4 linked regions of the Caenorhabditis elegans genome follow. The gene in region 1 interacts genetically with each later gene. Each region holds a gene or a part of one and is shown in the gene's direction. Other genes may lie near its edges.

Evidence for each region.
Region 2: of sos-1 (region 1) and spv-1, changing one enhances a phenotype caused by changing the other (phenotypic enhancement), as found in Caenorhabditis elegans (one large-scale study listed by BioGRID).
Region 3: changes in sos-1 (region 1) and pax-3 together harm fitness more than expected from each alone (negative genetic interaction), as found in Caenorhabditis elegans (one large-scale study listed by BioGRID).
Region 4: of sos-1 (region 1) and irx-1, changing one enhances a phenotype caused by changing the other (phenotypic enhancement), as found in Caenorhabditis elegans (one large-scale study listed by BioGRID).

What each region holds. Positions count from the first base shown.
Region 1 is NC_003283.11:4,546,252-4,551,283, reverse strand, and holds the start of sos-1 (Son of sevenless homolog), read left to right. Parts: upstream 1-1,992; 5' UTR 1,993-2,004; coding exon 2,005-2,124; intron 2,125-2,176; coding exon 2,177-2,263; intron 2,264-2,373; coding exon 2,374-2,460; intron 2,461-3,411; coding exon 3,412-3,714; intron 3,715-5,032. UniProt on the Caenorhabditis elegans protein: Promotes the exchange of Ras-bound GDP by GTP. May regulate signaling pathways downstream of receptor tyrosine kinase, egl-15 and let-23.
Region 2 is NC_003280.10:7,925,646-7,930,251, reverse strand, and holds the start of spv-1 (Spermathecal Physiology Variant), read left to right. Parts: upstream 1-1,596; coding exon 1,597-1,747; intron 1,748-1,829; exon of another isoform or gene 1,830-1,907; intron 1,908-2,077; coding exon 2,078-2,215; intron 2,216-2,706; coding exon 2,707-2,794; intron 2,795-2,950; coding exon of another isoform or gene 2,951-2,982; intron 2,983-3,663; coding exon 3,664-3,736; intron 3,737-4,606.
Region 3 is NC_003280.10:10,144,594-10,152,576, forward strand, and holds the start of pax-3 (Paired box protein 3 homolog), read left to right. Parts: upstream 1-1,976; 5' UTR 1,977-2,254; coding exon 2,255-2,296; intron 2,297-2,726; coding exon 2,727-2,824; intron 2,825-2,869; coding exon 2,870-2,966; intron 2,967-3,664; coding exon 3,665-3,848; intron 3,849-4,257; coding exon 4,258-4,332; intron 4,333-7,362; coding exon 7,363-7,652; intron 7,653-7,711; coding exon 7,712-7,852; 3' UTR 7,853-7,983. UniProt on the Caenorhabditis elegans protein: Transcriptional activator. Regulates the lateral/ventral epidermal cell fate decision.
Region 4 is NC_003279.8:9,535,940-9,542,623, reverse strand, and holds irx-1 (Putative iroquois-class homeodomain protein irx-1), read left to right. Parts: upstream 1-1,657; 5' UTR 1,658-1,738; coding exon 1,739-1,759; intron 1,760-2,291; coding exon 2,292-2,753; intron 2,754-2,953; exon of another isoform or gene 2,954-3,093; intron 3,094-3,348; coding exon 3,349-3,708; intron 3,709-4,208; coding exon 4,209-4,419; intron 4,420-5,425; coding exon 5,426-5,505; 3' UTR 5,506-6,159; downstream 6,160-6,684.

The sequences.
Region 1 (5,032 bases):
TAGTGATTTCAACAAAAAGTTGTTTCCAGCTGCTGCGACATTGAGAAGTCGGTCAAATTTCAAATTTTAACTAAACCTAGGCCATTTTTTGAGCCACCATAACTTTTTTAAAACAAGTTTTCAAGATGTTTCATTATAAAATTCGGTGTTTTCAGACTATTTTGAGTTTAGTCAAGAAATAATAATCGAAATAAAAAATCGACTACACCACTTTTAGCATGAGATAAACGATAAAAGTATGCAATAAAGGGTGATAATTTAATAAAAACTGTAAGTAAAATTCCAGAGGCTGCCATAAGCAAGAGTTGCCGAAATTTCGGCTTTTTTTTCGATTTTTTTTTAAGAAAAAAGTCTCATTATGATATCCAGTCAGTTTTGGTCTATTCAAGCAAAATAACCAAAATCTCTACTACTTTTCAAATTTCTTCAATTCGATCGAATTTGACCTCAAAAAAATCGAAACGAGAATCAAAAAAGAGTCGACCTTGAAGTAGTGTATTTGTGTTGATTAGGTGGGGCTACTGATTGCACTGCAAATCAATAAATATATAAAGTCTTCTCAACAGATCAAACTGGTTCGAATAGAACAAGGCCGTGGTGAGAGATGGTGGCCGGCCGTTGTCGGGTGTCCATTTCTCTAGAATCTCTCACAGATTCCTGCAGTATTTCGTCAGCAGCCGCCGGCGGGTAACCCCCCGCTTCCCGTTCTCATCCCGTATCATTCTGTCCGCTTGTCTGTCACCTCTACGCTTCCATCACACTCCATCTTTTCTTCTATTTCTTCTTTTCAGTGTGTGTGTTGTTCCATGCATTATTTTTGCGGGTTGTAATCATCATCATCATCGCCATCATACACTTTTCTCCTTCTTCTCCATCTTGCTTTTCTCGCTCTCGTCAATATAGTTTTTGTCTTAAATAAACTTTGCAAAAGTGAAAATTTAAAAAAATATATAAATTCGTTCCTTGCATGCAGATTTTTTTTTCTGAAATTGCCGGAATTTATGTTACCAGCCAGGGATGTCCGGCAATTGTGGTTTGGCAAATTTTCTTGTCCACAAATTCGGCAAATTGCCGATTTGCCAATTTGCCGGAAATTTCGATTTTCGGCAATTTGCCGATTTGCCGTTCGCCGGATATCAATTTGCCAGAAAAATGAGGGTTTTTTATATATTTTTTTATATTTTTCATAACACTTAAAACTGTGCCTTTTTGAAATTTTTTTCCGGTTTTCTTTAGATATTTTCATAGAATTTGCTAACTTTTCAAAATAGATGTAGGAACATTCATAGGATGCGTACAATTTTGCTGATTGAAATTGAACTTCTGGAATTCCCAAAAAAAAAGTGCAAGGCCACAATTTGCCGGTTTGCCGATTTGCCGGAAATTGTCAATTCCGGCAATGTTGATTTGCCGGAAAGTTAGCAAAAATCGTTTGCCGATTTTTTCCAGCAAAGCGGCAAATGGCCGGAATTGAAATTTCCGGCAAATTGGCAATAAACCGGAAAAGTGGCAATTGTCGAAAATTTTCGGCGAAACGTGGTTTTGCACTTCTTTTTTTGTTGGAAATTTCAGAATTTCAATCTAAATCGGCGAAATTGTACGCATCCTATGAATTTTCCTACGTCTGTTTTGAACTGTAAGAAAAAATTTAAAAAAGGGGCAGTTTTAAATGTTCCCATCTTATAAAAATCCCTCTAAACATTTCCGGCAAATTCCAATTTTTTCGAGGAATTGGATTATGTTCCATATATCAACGAAAAAAAAAACAATTTTATTAAACAAAATAAATTGAAAAAATTCGGAAATTTTTCATTTGACGGTATATGCTAAAATATTTTTTTCTGTTCACTTTAAGGTACTTCTGGTGATTAGAAAATTTAAAAAAAAATCGATTGTCAGCGTAAGAATTTATTAATTCATGAATTTTAACTCGTAACTTATTGTTGGCCCACTAATATATTTTTTCCTAAATAATTCAAAATTTCATTGCAGATGGTCATATAAATGAGCATAATGAGCATATCACTGCACTCGGCATCATCGGATACGGTCTCGTTGACCAGCCGACGAACAATATCAACTAGTAAGCATTGGGCGGCTATTTTTGATGAAAGAATTTATCAGGTTTGTATATATTTGAATATTTCCTGAATTCAATAATATTTTTCAATTTCAGATATGCAATATCGTACATCCTGGCCTCCCGATTGACAATGCTGCAGTTGAGCACATTCGATATTTTTTGCAAAGTATCGTTTTTGAGGTATATATATATATGTATATATCGGTTTTTTTTCAAATCTAACAAATAAATTAATATTAATAAATTCCCCCTGTGCATTTCTTGACCTTGTAATCCTTTCCCCTCTTCAGCTCATCGAAGCACGTGCCACAAGTGTCGTCGAAGTGGACAAAACTGCGAAAAAGCTGTTCGCATTCGGTCTGCAGACTGTTTGTAAAGTAAGGGATTTTCAAAAAATGTTTCCAAAAAATTTGTATATTCATAAATCATCAAAAAAGATCGTGATTTGATTTTCAAAACTATTCATTTTTTGTCTTTTATCCTGAATATTCAAGTTTATGGAATTCTTTCCGCTTTAAAATATTTTATTTAAAATGTACTACGAGAACACAAAAATCTGAGAATGCGTATTGCACAACATATTTGACGCGCAAAATAACTCGTAGCGAAAAAGAAAACTACAGTAATCCTTCAAATCACTACTGTAGCGCTTGTGTCGATTTACGAGATCTCGATTTTCGTATTAAAAGCGATGGAGCTTATTTCGAAAATTGGGCCCCGTAAATCGACACAAGCGCTACAGTAATCATTTAAAGGGTTACTGTAGTTTTCGCTACGACACATTTTGCGCGTCAAATATGTGCAATACGCATTCTCAGATTTTTGTGTTCTCGTAGTACATTTTAAATAAAATATTTTAAAGCGGAAAGAATTCCATAAACTTGAATATTCAGGATAAAAGACAAAAAATGAATAGTTTTGAAAATCAAATCACGATCTTTTTTGGTGATTTATGAATATACAAATTTTTCTTTTTTTTGCCTAAAAAATCTGGGTTTGGACAAAAAAAATATTAAAAAAGTAGTGAAATTGGTGAAAAAACCAACAAAAAAAAACGTTTTCCACCTAACATAAATACAAGAAAAATGAAATATACTCTTTGGGAAAAAAATATTTTTAAAAATTCTAAAATTCTGAAAAACCACAAATTAAAATGAACAAACCACGAAATATTGAAAAATTCAACTTTCGAAAATTTTCGTGATTTTAAAATTTGGATTTTTCAGAATTTGAGACTATTTTTGAATTTTTCGGAGCAATATTCCCCCTAAAATGTGTATTTTTTCTGATTTCTCGAATTTTCTTAAATATTATTTCAAAATTTGCAGGAAGCCTGGGACAACATGCACCAACAACTCCAAAAGCACAAATATCAAAAAGCCCTGAAAACAGTTCTAGAAAGCCAACATCGCCTGGCAGCAGTCATCAAAGAAACACTTGGACCACGAGAAAAAGAGAAAAAAGATCGAGAAAAGAAGGAAATCGAACGTATCGCATGCTATATTTATTATGCATGTGAAAGTGTTACTGAAGATGTGCTCAGGCTGACTGGAAATTATGTGAAAAATATTCGAAATAGTGAGCAAAAGATTACGATGGCTAATCTTGATGTGGCGATGAACGGGGATAAGGTACTGCTTTTTTTTGGAGAAAAATATAAAAAAAACCTATTCAGCAGAAAATTTGCTTCGAAAAAATAAAAATAAAAATAGTCTTGAATTCAGAAAAAACCAAAAAAATCGCAATTTTAGCTAAACACAATTTTGTTTTCGAAATCGAAAAACGAGAAAAAAATTTTTTTTTTGAAAACAAAACATTTTTCGCCGAAAAATACGAAGAAATAATAAATTTTTCGCCAAAAAACACAAAAAAGCGAAAAGAATAAACATTTTTCAGTTTATAACGTTATTTTAAAAAAAAACTTGCTTATTTTGACCAAAATTGCATTAAAAAAAATTCGAGTGTGATTTTTTGGAATTTATGTAAAATTTAATATTTTTCTATATTTTTCAATTTATCAGAATTTTCCGCTTTTTATCAATCTTTTTTTCGAAAAAAAAGCAACAAAAAAAAACACATTTTTCGCCAAAAACACGGCAAAATCTACAACCCTGACTGCTGCGACCAATCAGCGATTCGCTCCGCCCATTCTTCAACCAATCAGATGGAGTGGGCGGAGTTTGGTGGCGCTGATTGGTTGTGCAGTTTTCGTTGCGGTGGGAATTCAAAGTTAGCCAAAATTTTCACGATTTTCTTGTGTATTTTTTTCCGAATTTGAGACTATTTTGGTTATTTTGAAGCGAAAATTCAAAAAAAAAAAATCCCAGAAATTTCTGAAATTGACCTAAATTGACCTGAAAATCGATAATTAGACTTGTTTGCAAAGAAAAAAAAAAGGAAAATCTAATTAATATAGCCGTCGGCAATATTATTGCCGAAAAACGATATATTAATTGGGTTTTCTTTGTTTTTTTTCTGTTTTATAATTGGAAATATTATTTTTTCAGACTTTTTTCTGGAAAAAGGGTATAATTTTAAGATTAAATTATCGGTTTTTGGCCAATTTTGGCTAAATTTGTTTCAAATTCTCTTTTTTCATAAATTTCATCTCAAAATTATATTGCATATGTCCACTTCGTGCCAGGCTGTCCCATTACGGTTTGATCTACGAAAAATGCGGGAATTTTTTCCCAGAAAAAATGTGACGTTAGCACGCTCTTAACCATGCGAAATCAGTTGAGAACTCTGCGTCTCTTCTCCCGCATTTTTCGTAGATCAAACCGTAATGGGACAGCCTGACTCCACGTGTATCTGCACGTGGTCTCAAAGTGTCCCATTTTGGTTTGATCTCCGAAAAAGGCGGGACGTCACATTATTCCGAGGAAAAAATTCCCGCATTTTTTGTAGATCAAACCGTAATGGGACAGCCTGACTTGACTACGTGTATGT
Region 2 (4,606 bases), on another chromosome or scaffold:
TGAAGCTATGTTTTGTGTATAGATTAACACTTTTTGTTTAAGTTACGCTGTAATAGTTTGTTTTTCTGGAAAAATAATGGGAACTGCAACAAGAAAATGCTCTTGTTCTAAATTATACTCTACAATATAATTTCTCTTTTCGAATTGTGACACAAAAACTGAAGAACAAAGACAATAAAGTTCGGAAATTGAAATTGAGTTCTCTTGAAATTTTTCTGAAAAAAAAGCACACATTTTTCCTTTTTTTCTGAATTTTCCGAAAAAAAGTTGTCCAGTTTCAAAAACAAAGCAAAAACAAAAACAAAGTTCCTTATTTTAAAAAGTTATTTTTTCCATTCTAGAGTGCTTTTTGAGCATTTCCGTTTCGTTCACCCAATCTGTGGAACCAACAAAAGAAAGCGTGGGGCAGAAAAAGGAAGAATCGCAGACGTCATCCTTCTCTCTTGTGCTCCAGAACATGATGATGATGATGCGGATAGGAAAAGGATAGTTTTTGAGAATTTTTTTGGGAAAAGTTTTCACACCATATTTTGAAAGATGTTTTTTCTCTATTTGAATTTATTTTCATTATTGAAACTGAAATTTCCGGGGTTTCCCATTTTGAAATTTTGAGAACAAGATATTCAGTTAAGAGAATAAATTCAATTATAAAATTGGATTTCTGTAGAAAATTTGTATCATCGTAGATAAAAAAAAAATGTAACGACAAAAATTGTATTCATTCATTTTTTATTTTCTACTGCTATTTTACATTCCGTTTCTGTTTTTTTTTTTTTGGAAAAATAACTTCATATATCCTATTTTCCTCTAAAAGATCCGTGTTCTCAAAATATCAAGAAAATTTCCTGATTCTTTCATTTTCAATAAACCGAACCCTTTGATCAAACCACAGTTCTTGCCAGTAGGCGTTTTCTCACGCATTTCAAGTATCTGCTCCTTTAAAAATTTTAAATTCAGAAATTCGAATCTTTTTGATGAATTCCTTTTTCAAACATTGTTGATTTTAAAATATTCTACTATCAAAATCGCGAAAAAGAGAAGGAATTCGTTGTTTTCACCAAAAAAAATGTATAACGGGAGTCTAATTGATTAGATCTGTCTTTTTTCTTTTTTCGTGACAAAAATGTGAATCCATGTATCTTGAAGCATTGCTTTTCAAGGTTTATGAACTTTCAAACCACCTCTGTTATCAATTTTTGAGATCAGTGAAACGTGAAAAAGAGGAATAGTTCCAGTAGAAAGGAAGGCATTTTTATTGGACTTTTTTTGAAAACTAGCTCAGTAGGAATAGAAAATAGATATATATTTTCCTGGAATGTGCTCTTGTTTTTCTCTAGTTCTCATTCCTAAAAGTATTCTGGAAGTGTCTGAAAAATTATGTCATATCTCTATCGCGCACAACTTTTTCACAATTAAAAACGGAAATATTTTCTTTGAAGCTCTTTTTATGATTATTGTTTTTTGTTGTCTTCCTTTCCTTCGTTGATCATGGAATACTCTTGTAATTGAAACCGCTTCAATGAGCTCTTTCTTTAATTTATTCTCAAATATTTTCAGACAAACTCTCAGAAAGTTGACTGAAATCAAGTCGACGCAATGTCGTCGACGAGCAGTATATGCTCTTCAAATGATGCCGATTTCATTGTTGACACCAGAATTCCGGCATCAATACGTAGAGATATTGATCGATTTTCAGTTTTTATAAATCGACTTCGGTCAACTTTGGATCTCAATTCTTCGGTTGTTGGTATGTCTGAAAATTAAATTTTTTTAAAAATTATTTATAGAGTGTAGCGGAAATTCAGGAAAACGCGCAAGGTTAAGAAAATACAACTAGATTTTTAAATGTAATGTTTCGGTGAATGGTTTAAAATTTGAAACTATTTTTCAGCAAAGCCTTGAAAATCGAAAAGCCTATTTAATAATGTACTAACAGTTATTTTGGAGCACTAAATGTTTTATCTGATCCTTGAAGTTTCCTACGATCGAACTGTAACTTCCAGAGCTTACATGTTTTTTTTTTAAATTAACGTTATGTAATACTCAACTTCCTCATCTGAAATTACAAATTTTGCAGACGGTGAATCAATGTGTGTAAATGTGCATGCATCATTGGAAATGGTGTCAGAATCCATGCGGGACTTGTTTAAATACTCTCAATTCAAAACAAATCCCATCATTTTGCTGTCTCTTCAACTTGTGCAAGCCGTCAAAGGTATGTGTAAGTGAGAGCATATTCTCTCATCTTCTTCTCTTCTGTTGCTCTTCTGCACACATTTCTCATTTAATTTTACTCTCTCTTTTCGTGGAAAAAGACAAAAAAAAGTTGTTTTATGTGCATCATCACAGGAATACTAAACGTATTTCATTAGGCCAATGTTCATTTTATTTCCGGCATCATTTGATAGTTCCTCTGATATTCCAATATATTTCAGTTTCAGAATTACTATTATTAGGTTTAATTCTAGATACATGTTATGTAATTGTTTATTAGGAGTTTGAGCTTTTACATAATTTTGTAAAAATTGTAACGATTTGACTTTATTGGCGTAGAATTTTATCAGTCATAAAACCTACAACGATTTCAAAAAAATTAATCTCAAAGTTTCATTCAATCAGTATAATCAATTTGTAATGCTGTTCCGTACACTGACACCAGTCTTCTCTGAACCTGTCAAGAGAAGTCTGAAAAATTGTTCATTCCAGACTTGAAATTTGATACGTGCTCTGTGGATACGACTCCGGTTCTGAACATTATCGATCAGCTGGAATCAGCTGTTTTAAACATCATTCTGTGAGTTCCCGTCACCTTCATTCCCACACACCCACATTTCTCACCTCGTTCTTTTTTCTTTCGATCTTCCTCTCTCAATGATTTGTTTCGGTTTGATTTTTGAGAGTTAGACGTTTTTCCCTCTACCGGTAGGAGGAATGCGTGTTTAGGTGAAATATGGATTTTGAACGAGGAAGGAATTGGATAAGGTAATTCAAAAACTCTCGAAAATTCTCTAAAACATTGTATTAATTAGAAAATTTAAATAGCTTGTTTTTTTAATTGGCAGTAGCCTTGAGAAATTGTTTTTAACCTGGTAGTTCGGAATTATATTTTTTCTTGCATCAAAAGATTGTTTAAAAAAATCAATTCAAGTTTTATATTTTTCGGAAAAATTGATTGAGCTTATCCTTTCTGTAAACTGAAACAATTCAAAAGTTAAACAAGCCATTTATTCATTCGATTTATTTTTGCATGGGAATATTGATCATTCACATCGTTTCAATTGAATGATGCTGTTTCAAATGTTCAAAATATTTTCTCTGCAAACGCTGCTCCGACGAGACGCTACTAGATTAACGGTCTACGCTCATATACCAAATCACGCATCCAGTAAAAAAGTGTGTCTAGTCGCGCCTTTTCTGTACCTTTTTGAAATATTTAATTGTTTAAAACTTTCTCACACAGATGGAAATGCCAATAAATATTGGCATTTCACTTTTCTGGTTATAACTAAAATGTTAGATTATTCAAGATTTAACAAAAAACGTTGTTTCCAACGAATTTAGATTCTTTCTAAGTAGAAAACTACGCAGGGTTTTTTAAAAATCTGAAAAGAGCGTTTAGTGTTATTGAAATTAAATTCAAAATTATTCATTATTCATTTTCAGAAACCGTCATATTGTTTCATCGGTTCATCATACGCCGAGTAGAAGTTCAACGTTAGGTCGCTGGAAACAAAATGTAAGCTGCATTCTGATCTACAAAAAAATCTTAAAATTGATATTCCAAAAATTTCGAGAAACGTTGTTTTTTGGTAGCGGTTGCTCTCCTGTTTCGTTTACATACACATACGTATTTTGTTTTTGTATGTGTCAATCCATGGTTTTCTATTTTCCCTTTTCTTCAACTTTTCGTTCTTCAATTCACTCCCAACCTTTATTCATAGTTCTTCTTTTTCAGTTCATTTACTAAATTATTTGTTTAATGCGGTCTCCCAGAAATAGGTCCTATGGGAGAGTAAGTTGAAACATATTTGATTAATAAGATTTTGAATAGTATAAAACAAAATTTCCTGCTGAAAAAGTGAAACATTTGAACATCTATTTATGTATGAGGAAAATGAGTTTCAGATTTTCTAAATCGTATTTGAAGTTCTTTAAATCCCAAGTCAGCGATGTCAAAATAGCAAACCAAAACCATGAGTCAGATGACAATATTCTCCTCAAATTTTCCAAAAATTATGCAAATTTTTTTATCTTATGTTCCTTGTGATCTGTTCAAATTTATTTCGAAAATTGTAAAACACAATTATTATAATATTTTTCTATTAGAATGAAACGTTTTATAAAAGCAAAATACGAAAATAATCCGGTAATGTTAACTAATAAACTTTCAAATTTAACATTTTTGATAGCAAGATTTCTGAAAAATGTTCCTAGTGAAAACTGTTCACAGTTGTTTTAAATTGTGGTAAAAGTTACTTTTTTGAATTTAAGTTTTGCTGCCTTGAATACAGTAACCTATTTATTCAATGACAGTTTAAACTAAAACATTTAAAAAAAAAGAATGTTTACTATTTTCTATAAAACTGCAATATTCTGATTCATTTTT
Region 3 (7,983 bases), on another chromosome or scaffold:
TGAGAAGGAGACCGGTCGAAATCGAGCTGAAAGGTGTTTGGATTACTGTAGTCTTATGATGAAATACAAATAATAAGAATCCAGAACTTCGAACAATAAATGGAGACAGCTGTCAATAAGCTAAATTTTCAAGAATTTCATATTTTTAATTTGAAGTTAGTATATTTTCTAATGTTTCATTTCAAACAGTGTGTGCCTTTAAAGTGTTGTATCATCTATTTGAGAAATTACAATAATGACATAAGTATTGTAGAGTTTAATGAGACACTGTAACACGGTGGCTGGGACAAACTCTTTTCACATTTTGTCAACAAACTCCCGCACTCAGCCCATCAATTCTCCATAGATGATGCCCTTTTCAGATAGCGGAAAACCCCGCATCATCATCATCTCACACTTCTCCGGATAGATAGATAAAGATATATCCAAGTGTTACAAAGGTGTGAAGACCCCCAAAAGTTGACATCGGCGCGTGGCCCTTAATTATGACCGCATACCACTTCAAACGATACCGCCACCGTTTCTTCGTCCCCCTGATAACATGGTCCCAGATTATCAGGAAAATGGTGTAAGACAACCTTGCGCAATCCGGGAAGATGAAGAAGGAAATGATGATGTGACACGTGCCGAAAAAGAAATTGGGCCCTACTTGTTGATTGGGTAATGCACGTGTAGTTTTCAGGTGTTTTCGGTATTAAAAGGCTATTTGTATGGGGTAATAAAGGATTAATGACTAGGATTATTTCACATTATTTCACATATTTTCACGTTTTGTTTCTAACTGAAACTCACAAATAATTCTCCAATTGTGTAGTTTAGAATAGATTTATATCTTTAGACACCGTCGGTAAACAACTAAAAATACCATTATTCATCTCAATGACATAAACTTTCCCAACACGAGCCCTCCCAAACACCGACTCGCTAATTGCGAGCAATTTATTGATTGACAGTTCGCGGATGAACTTGTTTTGCACATTGTAGATCGAGATAAGACAAGTAGGTTCTTAAGTCGGGCCGACACAAAACAGATAGGTCTAAAAGAACGTCTGAAATTGAATAATCAGATAAGACAGAGTAAAGGGATACTGAAAAAAGAATAGTTATAGAAATACTTGAAAATCTGAATGAATAGAGGTGACAACTATTTTTCCAAACTTACAACTAACACTGGTCTCAAATTACAGATACATATATATGTTAGTTTTTTCAGATTTCAAATTAACCTACCCGTAGGCTGGTAGGCAAGAATGTAGTCGATCTTTGCAAAGTCATATCTTTAAATTTCTCATTGGAAATATTTGTACCGTATCCTCGAAGCACTTTTCCTCCTGACCTCTTTTGTTTGTAAAATATGTTTACACTTTTGAACACTGGAAATGAAAATGGGGAAATTGGTCATTGCCAACAAGTTACACTACTCTCGAAAGTTGTCTGTTTGTTCTATCTGTTCTTGTTTCCGTGAAATTGCAACTTTTGGAATATGTATGTTTTTGGTAATCAGAAAATTATTTTTGTGTTAGGTAAGTCCAACAAATCACATAATCGAAAAAGCAAACAAAGAAAGTAAACTTTGTCTGAAATCCATTAAGAAGCTGTTTTCAAATATTAGTAGCATGAATAATTCTAACGCTGTTTAAGCTTTTAATGGACATGAACGATTTTTAAAGTTTTGAAGTATTCGTTTCTGGTTCCAGTTTCATGTTAGAGTTACTTCTAGCTTCACCCAGAAGCACGGTGGACTGCTTAGATCTATGTAGCTATCTGCAAATATTTTGAATCTGCAAGATCCGCACGCTCCTAGATGTCCTTTTCTTCGAGACTATCCACAGGTGAATCACCATTTTGCAGGTGCTACTACCAAACATTGACCTTTCAAATCAAAACCATCGAGCACATAAATCTTCATCTCCAAAAATCCACCTCCTAGTCAGAATATCTCTGATAACAAACCCACATACCCCGCGCCAACATCTACTAGTACGTCCTTTGATGCTTACCGCCCGTGTCTTTCGCCCTTCTCTATGTCTCGCTGGTTTCGATTACCGTACTCGAGACTATGCATGCCTGTAACAGACCGCGCATGCGCATAGGTGGGCGGGATCGCCGTCCCGCCCATTCACAGTTCGACAAGGCGTGTCACCTCGAAACTACTCGCTCCTTAAGTTTTCACGCTATATACCTGATATTCACACATTCGGTATATTGGGGGCCAGCCATACGTGCTCCTGATATCCCATCCACTACTAACAAAATGACCACAGATTCTATCACATTTAATCACATTCTTGGGCAGGTAAGTCTATGGTTTCGATAAGTTGTTTTCTAGTTGTAGTGCATAAACTACTGCTCAGGTATTTTTTAATGTCTAGAAGTAGGAGATGTATCCCGGAAAAATTTGATTGAAGAAATTTTTGGAAATTCTAGATGGTTCTAGAATGTACGTTAATTTCGAATTATTTCTATACTGGCTCAGACGTTTTAAGGAGCTAAAATTAAGCTCTTGTTAATTATACAGTTTGAAGTTGTAGCCTATAGAAACTTTTGATTTATTGTTAATAGAGCTCATCAAGCATCACAAAAATTAGATAGTATCATTACTATAGTTAGCCTTAAGTTAGATTTTCATAGCATTTGAAAAGTTTTTGAAAATATGTTTTGAGTTTTCCAAGTCTCAATTTCTTCTCCTTTCTCACCGCCTCTATTGAAGCCCAAAATTAATTCAGGGTCGTGTTAACCAACTCGGTGGAGTTTTCATCAACGGTCGACCCCTTCCAATTCACGTTCGTCATGCTATCATTTCAATGGCCAAAAAGGGTATAAAGTAAGTAGTCCGAACTTCTAGAGAACACTAACAATAATCTTTTAGACCATGTCACATCAGTCGTCAACTCAAAGTATCTCATGGAGCTGTTTCGAAAATCTTGAATCGTTACGCCGAGACGGGCTCAATATCTCCGGGACAGGTCAGTGCATTTTCTGGATGATAAGATAATTTGCTAATTAGGTCATCAGGCAGGCGAATCATAACCATAAAATTTAATGTTTGCCTACACGTGCCGCGTGTCGTCGTCCTGATTCAAAAAAGTACCGTAATACTCAATTTTGGCGGGTCGCGCAGGTGCGACGCCCCGGGTGGCACTTTTCGGCATTTTTCAAAAAATGCGTCGGATGTCTGTGTTTCTGTTAAAGTAGTTGTTGTCTACTAGGTTTTTGGTTACCAAAAACATACGGTAATTACAATTCCAAAAAAAGTAAACTTTGAATTCTTGAAAATTCCATTTTGTTGGTTGCAAAACGGCAAAGAGTGTAGAACGGGGAGTGCAAATATACAAAACAATTTTTATTCATTTATAAACTTTAAAATCATCTCAAAAACAACCTGAAACTTTCCAAGAACTGATATCAAAACGTTTTCGGCAAATGACAACTTTGAAACAGTTTTTGAAATTTTTCTCGACTATTTCAATGCAAATAACTGATATTTTCAAACTGATCAAATATTTTTCTATCTATATTTCTACATTTAATTTAATAAAAAAAAGAGTTATAATCTGGGATTGGGCAGTTTTGTAGATTTGCCGAAAATATTCGTCATATTTCTTACATAAGCCTAGCGAAAGCAAATGCTTTTTAAACATAAATATCTATGAATTAATTTCAGATCGGTGGAAGTCCCCGCGCTCGACTTACAGTCCAAGCCGTCGAGAAAGAAATTCTGATCGCATGTGATGAGAATCCACAAATGAGCGCTGCAGAGCTCCGAGATTGGCTTATTCACAAAGACATTTGCACAAAAGGAAATGCTCCAACAGTACCTGCGATAAAAAGGCTTATTGGGAATAAAGGTATAATAATGATGAAAACTGTGAAGGCAAAAAAAAGGTAGAGGAATAGATGAAAAACAAACAGAAATTCGTTTCGTTTGATGAATGTTCCGCTTCTGATAGCTGTGGTTGTGTTTGTTTAACTGTTGACAACGATTTTTTTTGTTTCGAATACTTTCATGGAAACTTGCTTGGGCGTCATTTTTTGATGCGTGATTTTCCACAAAAATTCAACAAACCTCACAAGAAGAACTTCTAGACATATTCGATCAAATTATCACTTTCTATAACCTCATCAATCATTTCTTCACGCCAATCATATCATCTTTTTTGCTGCACTTTTTCATCATATCTTCCTTATCACTTTTTTTTGTTTTAATTTCCTTATCAATATTTATCTTCACACAAATCACCACATACTTTTTTGCAGGCGTCGGGGTTCCGAAGAAAATGGAACGAAAACGGCTGAGCTACAGTATCGACAGCATTCTGGGAATTTCAATTGGTAAGTGGTCTAATTGGAATAGTCTTGATTTCACACATTTATAATTTCGTTCCGTTTGTCTCATGTCCTCCAACACCTTTTTTGGGTGTCGGATTTCCTGTTCAATCAGGCAACATTCCGTTCTTTCAATTCAATTTTCTTCTGCCATATAGTAACACACAAACAGACGTAGCATGAAAGTTTTCATTCCTCCCAATATTCCCAAAGGGGCCAGAGGGCATACTGTATATTGGACTTCTTTGATATAATAACGGTCATTAACACTTTGATTAGTATCGCCTGTATGTCGCTGTGTATGTTAACGGTGTGATAAGACGATAAAGGCGAAGACGTTGAAGAAGTGGGGGCGGAAAGGACAAGAAGCGTCGGTGAAGAATGATGTGAATTAGACAAGGGGGCACGCGTCAGGGGTTGATTTTAATCAACAAGACCATCGTATTTGTTTGTGAGTTGCATGCTGTGCGCCGCCACGGAGATCTTCAGGGAGAGAACCATGACTGATTGAATTACGGGTTACGGTAGTGTACCGCATTTTGTTTCTCCTGATCTGCAACAAGCGTACCGGAATGTCCCGCGTGTCTTCAGGCCTACCTGTTAGCTTGCCTACTGCCTATTCGTCTACATCTTGGTGTGAAGTCTAGGGTCTGATGTTGCATTGTGAAGCCTATAGGTAGGTCGCCTTGATGTCCGGTAAGCAGGCACTTTTGATCCTAAAATCTTGTTTGATCTGTGCTCAGTTGTTAATCACATTCGGTAGGGTACGGTAGTTGTGCAAGAAAATCGTAATCTAAAGAAAGAGCATGTCAAATTCCAGGCATCATACGCCTACCTTGTAGGCACGCAGGCAGGCATTTTTATCATGTTCGGCACTCCAAACAGTTTCATTAAATCTTTGTCTGAAAATTCAAGTTTAACAACAGCTTTGAGACTGTTTATATAGAACGAATAAAAGTGAAATTTTTGGTTTTTAAAACTTCCAAAACTTTTAGCCTACTTTTTATAAGAAACTAGACAGCCACAAACTTATGTTTTTGCAAGTTACTTGAATTTCTAGGGGTCATGCCACTACCTCCTGCTGTTTCAACTTCTTGTCTTCCAAAACTTTCAACACTTCCCCTCTCTTCCTGTCCCGTTTTTTCCCGCTTCCTAACTTGTCGTCAATCTTGTCATTCCTTAAATTGTGAACCACCGCTCAACTTCGCACATTTTCGCATACACGTAGCAATTAAGATAGGGGGAGAAGATTTGCGCACTTGATAGGTGCCTATTCAAATAGGTAGGTAGGAGGAGGAGAAAACGATCCAATAAATTCCATATTTTCGCGGCCAATTGATCAGGATGGGCACACGAGTGACTGGCGCGAGAGAAGATTGGGATGCGCGAAAAAAAGCAAACACATGCATACGAACATAATACATATCCGCAATTTAACACATTAAAACTTTGACATTTGACATTTGACAATATGATTGTTAGGGATGTGGGTTACGGTATGTTGCGCAAGATCGTTAGTAGGTGTTGGTCAGCTTGCCTGGAAGGCAGGCAGGCATGACAGATCATTGTGAGCTTGTTTATTATCAAGTTTTTACCGAGTCCGAGTTACCCTCTCTCCACCACAAACCTTGAACCAAAGTTTGAACTCGGCGGTGCGGTAACGTGATTTTTCAGAAATTTCCCGAATTTGTCAGAATACTTCCATGATTTTCCACATGTCTATATTTCTATTACATTCATAAGTAACAAAAATTAATATTTTCCAAAAATAGGTAGCCGTTGAAAACACAACGCAACGACTGATATTTAGGTATCAGAGACTGGAGTGATAAAGTTCCAGGTGAAAAAAGAAATGGAAACAAAAGTTTCTTCTTCCTGGAATACGCTCAGAATACATTGCTCAATGGGAATATATTATAGCACTCCCCCGCGCCGTTCTTAATGAGCATTGGGAATTATAGAACGATATCGTTAAAAACTACAGTATGCTTAAGGGAGAATTCATTTTTGAAAATCTTACTCTACTCGGCAAGTAGCTAAAGTTTTCTGCAGACTATTACCAGAAAGAGGACTAAGTGCGGTAGAAATCTGCTTTGATTTGACAAGAACGGATGAAAAATATTAATGAGATAAAAGATCAAGTTGAGCATCCTTGAAATCGACATTCTTCAAATTAGAACATTGTATAGAAATAACCTTACCTTCCTTCCTTCCGTCACTATAAAATACTCCTGTGACAGAAACCGATTAGCGCACAGCTCATAAAACTTGGATGTGAGAAACGACGGTGATGATGGAGTGATCCGTCAAAAAATGGAACGATAAAAACAAATTAATAGGGTCCATTCCACCACATGATATCTCTTTCTCAAGTACACAAAGGTGTCAAGTCTATAAATTAGAAGAGACACCCCCCCTCCCCCACCCGCAATAGGGTCTCTCCCGATCTTTATCGATTATTTTTAGAGAAGTGTGTCTATGCGAGAGGCCTACGACATGACTGAGACCACCCACTGTGGCGCAACATTATATATAGTAATTGGGCGACTCGACTGGCAGGCCGTAGTCTTTCTCTGTTAGATACCTTACAATTGACTCATTGATTTCCGGATTTTGAGGGAAAATGCTTGATAGGCGGGGGTCTGATTTTGAATTTTTGAAATAGAACGTATGCGGAACTCAAATAATTTTCAGTCTCGAGGCAGGCGAGTCCGGAAGCCTTTCAGAAAGGCATTTCAGCATGCTCATTATTCATTAGAGCCTCCCTGGTATCAAATATATTCTAGTTGCAATAGTTACTTCAACTTTTGACGTCGCATGCTATTGAAAATGTTTGTTATTTTAATTACGCCTGGAACATTTGCCCTTTCGATTTTCAACGGATGAAAAAAATGGCAGATGAAAAATATTAGTTCCACATTTCGAAAGTCTGTATAGAGAGAGGATGTATAGAGTTTGTTAATGAAAATTCAAAAATGCATTCACGTACCCAAAAATGGTAGCTATGATAACCCCTTTCAAAAAAATAATTTTCAGACGAATGCAGCAAATCGTCATCGGATGACGAAGAGGGCTCTTCACCATCAAACGACGCATCGTCTCGTCGAAATCGTACATCATTCACTGCCGAGCAACTAGATGTTCTTGAAAATGCGTTCCGCGCAGACACTTACCCACATGCCAACGCCAGAGAGAGCATTTCCAAGGAGACAGGGCTCAGCGAAGAGAAAATTATGACGTGGTTTTCGAATCGGCGAGCAAGATGTCGGAAAAATATGCCAATGTATCAACAGTACAATGTTCAAGGTTTTGGATCATCTCCGCCGGTTAGTTAGAAATCGAAACTATATATTAGAAAACAAATTACTAAAACTTTGATTTTCAGTCCTACCCAACGCTGCTGCCTTCACCGATGATGTTCCTACCCTCCTACTCAACGAGTCCTCAATTGAATCCGTTATTCTTTCAACACATACTCCAATCAAGTCCCCCATCAAGTCAATCATCTCCGCCATCATCAAGCTAAACGCTTTGAACTTATTTCTGAACTTTCAAATAAAACCTGTGATATTTGAAAGTCGATCAGAAATTGATACACAAATTTAATTTGAAAGTCCAGAATTAATTTTAAAACATTACCTTAAGAATTCACCCATT
Region 4 (6,684 bases), on another chromosome or scaffold:
AGTTGCTTCTTCTACTTCAATTCCACAGCTTCATCATCTTCTGGCTCCAGCTCCTCATAAATTGTGCCGCGACCTCATGTCTACACCCTCCTACCTCCCGTGTTCCTCCCCCGGCGATTGACTCCGCCCAATGACTCCTCCTCCATCGCTTTCTCATCATCGTTTGACATCAATCTCCCTACCATACACCTTTTTGTCTTGTTTGGCTCATATGTACCTACATCTTCCTGTATTAGTACAAACTTCCGCCATTGAACTTTTTTTGTTGCAACTTTATGTTACTATATATGTGTTGTTGTTACATGTTGTAATAACTAAATGATCGAATGACCCAAAGAGAGATGTTAACACAATAACTGACACAATAGTAAATGTATTACACCGTGTCCTCTTTTTTTACCTTTTTCTTCTCCATTTTCTTTTTCTTCATCATCGTCATCAGCGCCATCGTTGGCCACTTACTCTCGCCGGCGCCCCCTATCCAGCAGCTACACTTCTTTACACCCCGCTTCGGACAACAAGAGACATGCCATTTTAAACTTCTATTCTCTCAATTCTTGTCCCCCTACAAACCGTTCTGACCATTACCTAATTGCTTCTACGATGTATCATTCTTGACTTAAGTTCACTGATTTCAGCTTCTTCTCCTTTGTCCTTTTTTTGTTCGTGGCGCCATTGTGTGTTCGGGTCATTTGATAGTACTCTCTAGATTTTCCGTCGTTTTACTTTTTAACTTTCAAATGTTTATACTTTTTTTCTCTTCATCCTGCCAATATTTCGGATTAAACTCTATGCAATGATCCTTCCAAAGCTTCCTCTTCCCGTTATTTGCTTCAATTTTCAGTTTCCATTCGTGAGCCAGCCAGCAAATTTACAACTTGTTTGCTCTTCGTCCTTGTGAATACATTTATTGAGATTTTTGGTTCTTGTATTTCTTAATTTTCATTCCCAAACTTGATAATTGGTAGAGGTAGAGAGGTATTAGGTTCGAAAGATTTTTTTTGCACAAAAATAACAATTCTAGAATCAAACTTGGAAATAATAACACTAAACAATGAAATAGTAAGATATCAAAACCATCATCATTCTTACAATCATTAGCTGGAACGGTTAATTGTTTATCTTTCAATCTCTTTTAGTTGCCATATCATCAATTTGTTTTCTTTCCGTTCGATTCTTGTATCCTTCATCATCATCTTCTTCTACTTCTCTTTACTCCGATTCTTTTCCGTTTCTCTTCGTGAATTTCTCCGGTTTATCTTGTTAAATCTACGTGTTCGCACGTGTTTTTTGCGCTTCTTCAATTTCTTTCCCTACTCTCCAGGCCCCGCCCTGTGGCTTCCATGTCTATTGGATGGTGGGCGGGACTTGAGAGAGAGAGAGAGACACACACGGCCCCGGGCGGGCATCTGCAGAAAATCGAGATTGCTCAACAAGTTGTTGAACATAAGGTCCCACATAGTTCTACATCATCTCAATTTCTTCAAGAATTATCAATCAAACCTTTTCTCTTTCTCTTCTATGCTTATCACTGAATCGCTCCTCCTTTGCTCCCTCTTGATTTCGTCGCCTCTCTGCCTCTCTCTCACTCTCTCTGTCTATCTTTTTCAACAAAAAACTGCTCTGGAATTATAACTGATATCAATGTGTTCTTCAGATCATAAATAATCATACTTATCAACTATTGTTTCTGCACTTGTACTGAGATCAACACATCTACTTCTACTACACCATCACAATGATTCCTATTGCCAATCAGGTCAGTTTTTAAGCGATAAGTTTAATAAGCTAAATTATAATTTCTATATTCTCAAGTAGTGTTCTTACATTTATTTATTTCATTTTTGTCCTTCTTGACACTTGGAGTCAACTTCCTGCTCTTTCCAATTGCCATGTTAACCTTGCACCGCCACTGCTTGGCGGTTTATATCTCGGTTGCCTTCAGCTTTATCAAAAAGTGTTATACAACCAAAACATAGAAAATTATTTTGCAAGTAAATTGTCCGTTTGAAGTTTTTTAATAAAACCACAAAGAACTGAGATATAAACTGTCAAAGTGAAGGAAGAGGGGGGTGCAAGTCTAATATAGAAAATTGCAGTTGAGAAGTTGTCAAAGCTTGGACAAGGTTTTCGTTTTCGATTCCTACCAATTTTTACATAAATCTTAGATTAGACAACATTTGAACACAGTCTCAAAATACTTCCTTCCAAAAAATTTAGATGCCAAATGTCAGATTTATTCGTTTGGATACCTTCACTTCACCTGACTAGAAAAGTAAATCCATTTCCAGGTCAAAATGGAAGAGCCCACAACACCACAAACAACGACTCCTGCTCCACCCACTTCAGCTCCGGATGCACTTCGCGGAATTCTGCCACCAAACCTTTTAGGTCAATTTCATTTCCATCCTGCCATGGCTCAAGTTCTCGCTGCTCAAGCTCAAGCCGCCGCCGCCGCTCAACAAGCAACTCTTGCTGGCTTCCCCGGAGTTCCGATGTTTCCACATGGAATTCCAGCAGATCTGAAACCAGAAATGTTATTAGGTGGAGGGCCAGGACCGATGCCCATGTTCTTCAGTGATGCTCATCGTTTATATCATCCATATGGTTTAGATGGAATCAAGAAAAGAAATGCAACACGAGAAGCAACTGCACCACTCAAAGATTGGCTTCATTCTCATAGAAAGAATCCATATCCATCAAAAGCTGATAAAGTTATGTTGGCAGTTGGTACAGGAATGACACTTACACAGGTATGTTGTATTATTTCTTGTTTTGACAACAATTAGTAAATGCAACACTGTGAAATGATTTAATAGCCGTAATAGCCTATTACCAACCGTAATCTCGTAATTTACTCCACAATATTTGCTCAATTTATTAGCTCACACGGGATTTTAGAGCCGCCTCTAGTCATCAATTACAAATACCACAAAAAATATTGTTGTAAAATGTAGTAGACAGTGTTTCCCGCAGTGTTATTGTAACATTAGCCACTCACCGGCCATCAAACCCCGGGGGCAAATGTCTCCTTTTTTGACCGATGCCAAAAAAAGAGGGGCGAGAAACAAAAGATGTACAGAGGCGATAAGCGATGATGATGACACCTCGTACCCCGCTTAATTAATGTGTTTCGAGAGACATTCTTTACACAATACGAGAAATGTTTCAAACCAAATAGGGCTACTACTTGTTTGATTTTGTTGCAATAGACCAACAACACACAACCTTGGCGCCAAAAATTAGATTTTAAAATTGTTTGAACCAAAACTTTGAAGTTATTTTATTAAAATAAACTCTAGCCCGAAAAACAAAGCCGAAGCTTGAAATTTATATTTTTAATTACAGGTCTCGACATGGTTTGCTAACGCCAGAAGACGACTGAAGAAGGAGAACAAGATGACTTGGTCACCACAAAATCGACGAGGCGATGGTTGTGATGACGATGAAGACGACGATGATGATGACATGAACCGTCCATCAAGCTCAACATCCATAAATTCCGAAAGAAAAGGAGAATCCCTATTCGGAAAGCCACATCTAGCATCACCAACGCCTTCGGGAGGATCTGGAGGATCAGATGAGTTGACAACACCGAAGAAAGAACTAGTATCCCCAATTCCAAATGATGATTCTGAAAGTCCGAAGCGTAAACCAAAAATGTGGTCGATTGCCGATGTCACTTCAGATGACGATTCATCAAAGAAGGTGAGAGCAAAAAAGTTTAGATCATAAAATACATTGTACAGATTTTATAGTTTTCCCCATCTTCCCTCTTATTCTAACAGTTTTACGAAATGGACTTAAAAACTATTATATGTTTAGTAGGGGCAAATAAAGAGTCCTCCTCTCCCTTCATCTTGTTCTGCACATTTTATAGAGATGTAAACTAGTATGAATCATTTGTATGTGTGTATGTGCAAACTTGTGAGGTGAGTGTGAAGCAGCCGACAAAACTGTGCCGCTTTAACAACAAACATGATTGAATGATGGTTTTATACATTTTCATAAAGTACATTAAGGAATTGATGGGAGATCAGGGGGTCATATTGTAAAGTTTAGGCATGGGTTACTGTACTTGGAAGATACATTGAAGCATACAGCAGTGCCTTTTGGCAGCTTATATTTTTCATAAAGTTGTTAAAGTGAAGTAATTTAGTTCAAGATGATGAATAATGGTAACCCCTAGCAAACATCTTTTTATTTAGGATTCTCCACCATCATCAGACGAAAATCTATTAACGGGAAGCTTGTTCCAAAACGCAATGAAAAAACAAATGGAAGTAATGGCACGATTGGATCCAACTTTGTTCCGTCACACAATGCACCCATTCATGTTCCAACTTCTAGCCCAACAAGCTGCTCAAGGGCAACAACTTGCACTTTTGGCACCACAAACAACTCCTCCAAATGAAGCAGGTGAGGTGAGCAGGTGAATACACTTTTCTTACATTTTGTTACATGGCAACCTGTCTGCTTTTTCTTATCATTCTTTTTTTGGGTATTCCGAATGATTGACAGCTAGTTGAACACCGTGCGTGCTTGTACATGAACAAGAAAAGTCGAAACGTAATCCTCTTAATTTTAAAGTTGTTATCCTGTCGTGACGCTCAGTTTTTTTGCTATTTAATGCACTAATCATCCCATATTTACTGATAATAGGTGTATGTTTTCTGATACACATTATAAGGGGAAAGTTCAGTAGCTACAGCTTCTAGATAGGCATTAACAAAAGAGGGTCTACACTTAAGTTCTAGATCCTTTTCAAATGTTTTAGCTCAGAAAGAGGAGTTCTTTTCTATGTAATAATTTTGTTCGAAACGTCAAAGGCAACGAAAAAGGGCTTAAACTGAAGTAAGTGTCTCCTCATTGACCCCACGGATTAGTGTGCTCGTTTTTCTAAACCGCGTGTTCTTCGTCACTCAGTTTTTGTCCAAAAAAGGAGCGCTGCTCCCGGAGTCAAGTCACCGAATGATAAATTGCCGATTTGATCCGTTCGTATAGTTGATGGGAAACACTTTCTTATAACTTATTGAACATGTAAAAGCAATTCTAGTTGACCAATATGGGGAAAAACTAGAAAGCCTAGTCTTATTTGAAACGTTGAACTGAAATTTCTCAGAGCATTCCTTCAAATACAAGCATGTCAAGCTGCTCTAAATCCGGATTTTACATTATTTTAGTGATTTTAAGGTTGTTTAGATGCAAAAAACATTCTGAAAGCTTTTTGGAGATTTTAATAATTTTCAAAAAATCAGATCATTTTTCACACAACTCAATCTTAAAACTTTCAAAAACTAAAAATTTCAAAAACTTTTGAAATATAGCTTAATTGACTTGGTGCCTAGGTTTATTGCAATATACAATATTTAAAAAATCTTTGAACAATTTTTAAGCCTTGATTTTAATGAATAAATAATTTCAGGTCTGAACTCTCAAGCGGAGACGTCGACGCCATCTCCAGCATCTTCTCCAACGTCGTCTCCACGGTCCCACCAAGAGTAGAAACCCCAGCTTATTAAGTTTAATTTTTTTAAATGAATATTGTACTCTCTCAAAGTTTCACCTCCTCCACTAAGAACTCTGAAATCGAGAAAATATGATATAAACAGCGGGTCTTTGAATTTCATTTTTTTCTCCATCCCATTTAAGTTTCGATTATTTTGGTCTCTCTCTATGTACAGTACAGTATTGTCTCCCAAATATTCACATCCCATCAAAAATTTCATTCGGTTACTGTAGCACCATATAGGCTTTTTCTTTCTCATTCATTTGCTTTTTTATGTTCTTTTAAACTTTATATGAATTCCATGACTATGAATTTTTTGTCTCTCTTTCTCTATTTTTTCCCCCAATTTCTCCCAGTTTTTTCTCACATTATTAACATTATTATTATTTCAATTCCACACAATTTTTCACAGGATGCATCTAGTTTTTGAGCTTATGATCGGTTTTCTCAATTTCCCGCCAATAATTGGAGTACTTTAGAAACAATTTTCTTTTTTTCTTGCTTTTTCCCACCAATTCGCTTCAAATCTCTTCACGCAAACCCACTTTTCTTACAATCCCATCTCATTTCTTTGACAATTTACAGTTTTTTGTGAGAAAGATACAACAACCTGCACGCATAATTTAGAAAATGAAGAAGGTTTAATATTTATTTCTTGAATATATTTTAAGCTAACAAAAAATCATGAAAATGGATATACATTTAATTGCACAAAATACTGCAACCATTTCAAAGAATTGCAGGCTGAATTAGTGACAACATTTCGGTTATCAAGAACGTGCACTTTTAAAGTAATTTTGAGCATTGCTTCATGTTCAAAAACATAGAATTTTTAAAACACAAATGGTTATAGAAACAAAATTAAAAACGTATAAAACTGGTTGATGATATATTTTTTTTGGTCGACTGTCAAATTATGATTGGTAAAACTAAGTTATCACCACATTTTGGCTGTAAATAAAAATTTCTGAAAAGGTTCACAATGATATTTAGACGTTTTAGCGTTTTTTTTTTAAATTTCCACTTAAAAATTCAATTGAAGTCTTTTTAGTTTATTTTCCCATTACTGTTTTTTGCCGACCTCTTGAAATTTAGGGGATGTGTAAATGTAGACATATGTACATTTTGGAAGCTTTTTTTAAAAAGAAATATCATGATTCTTAAAAAATCTGATA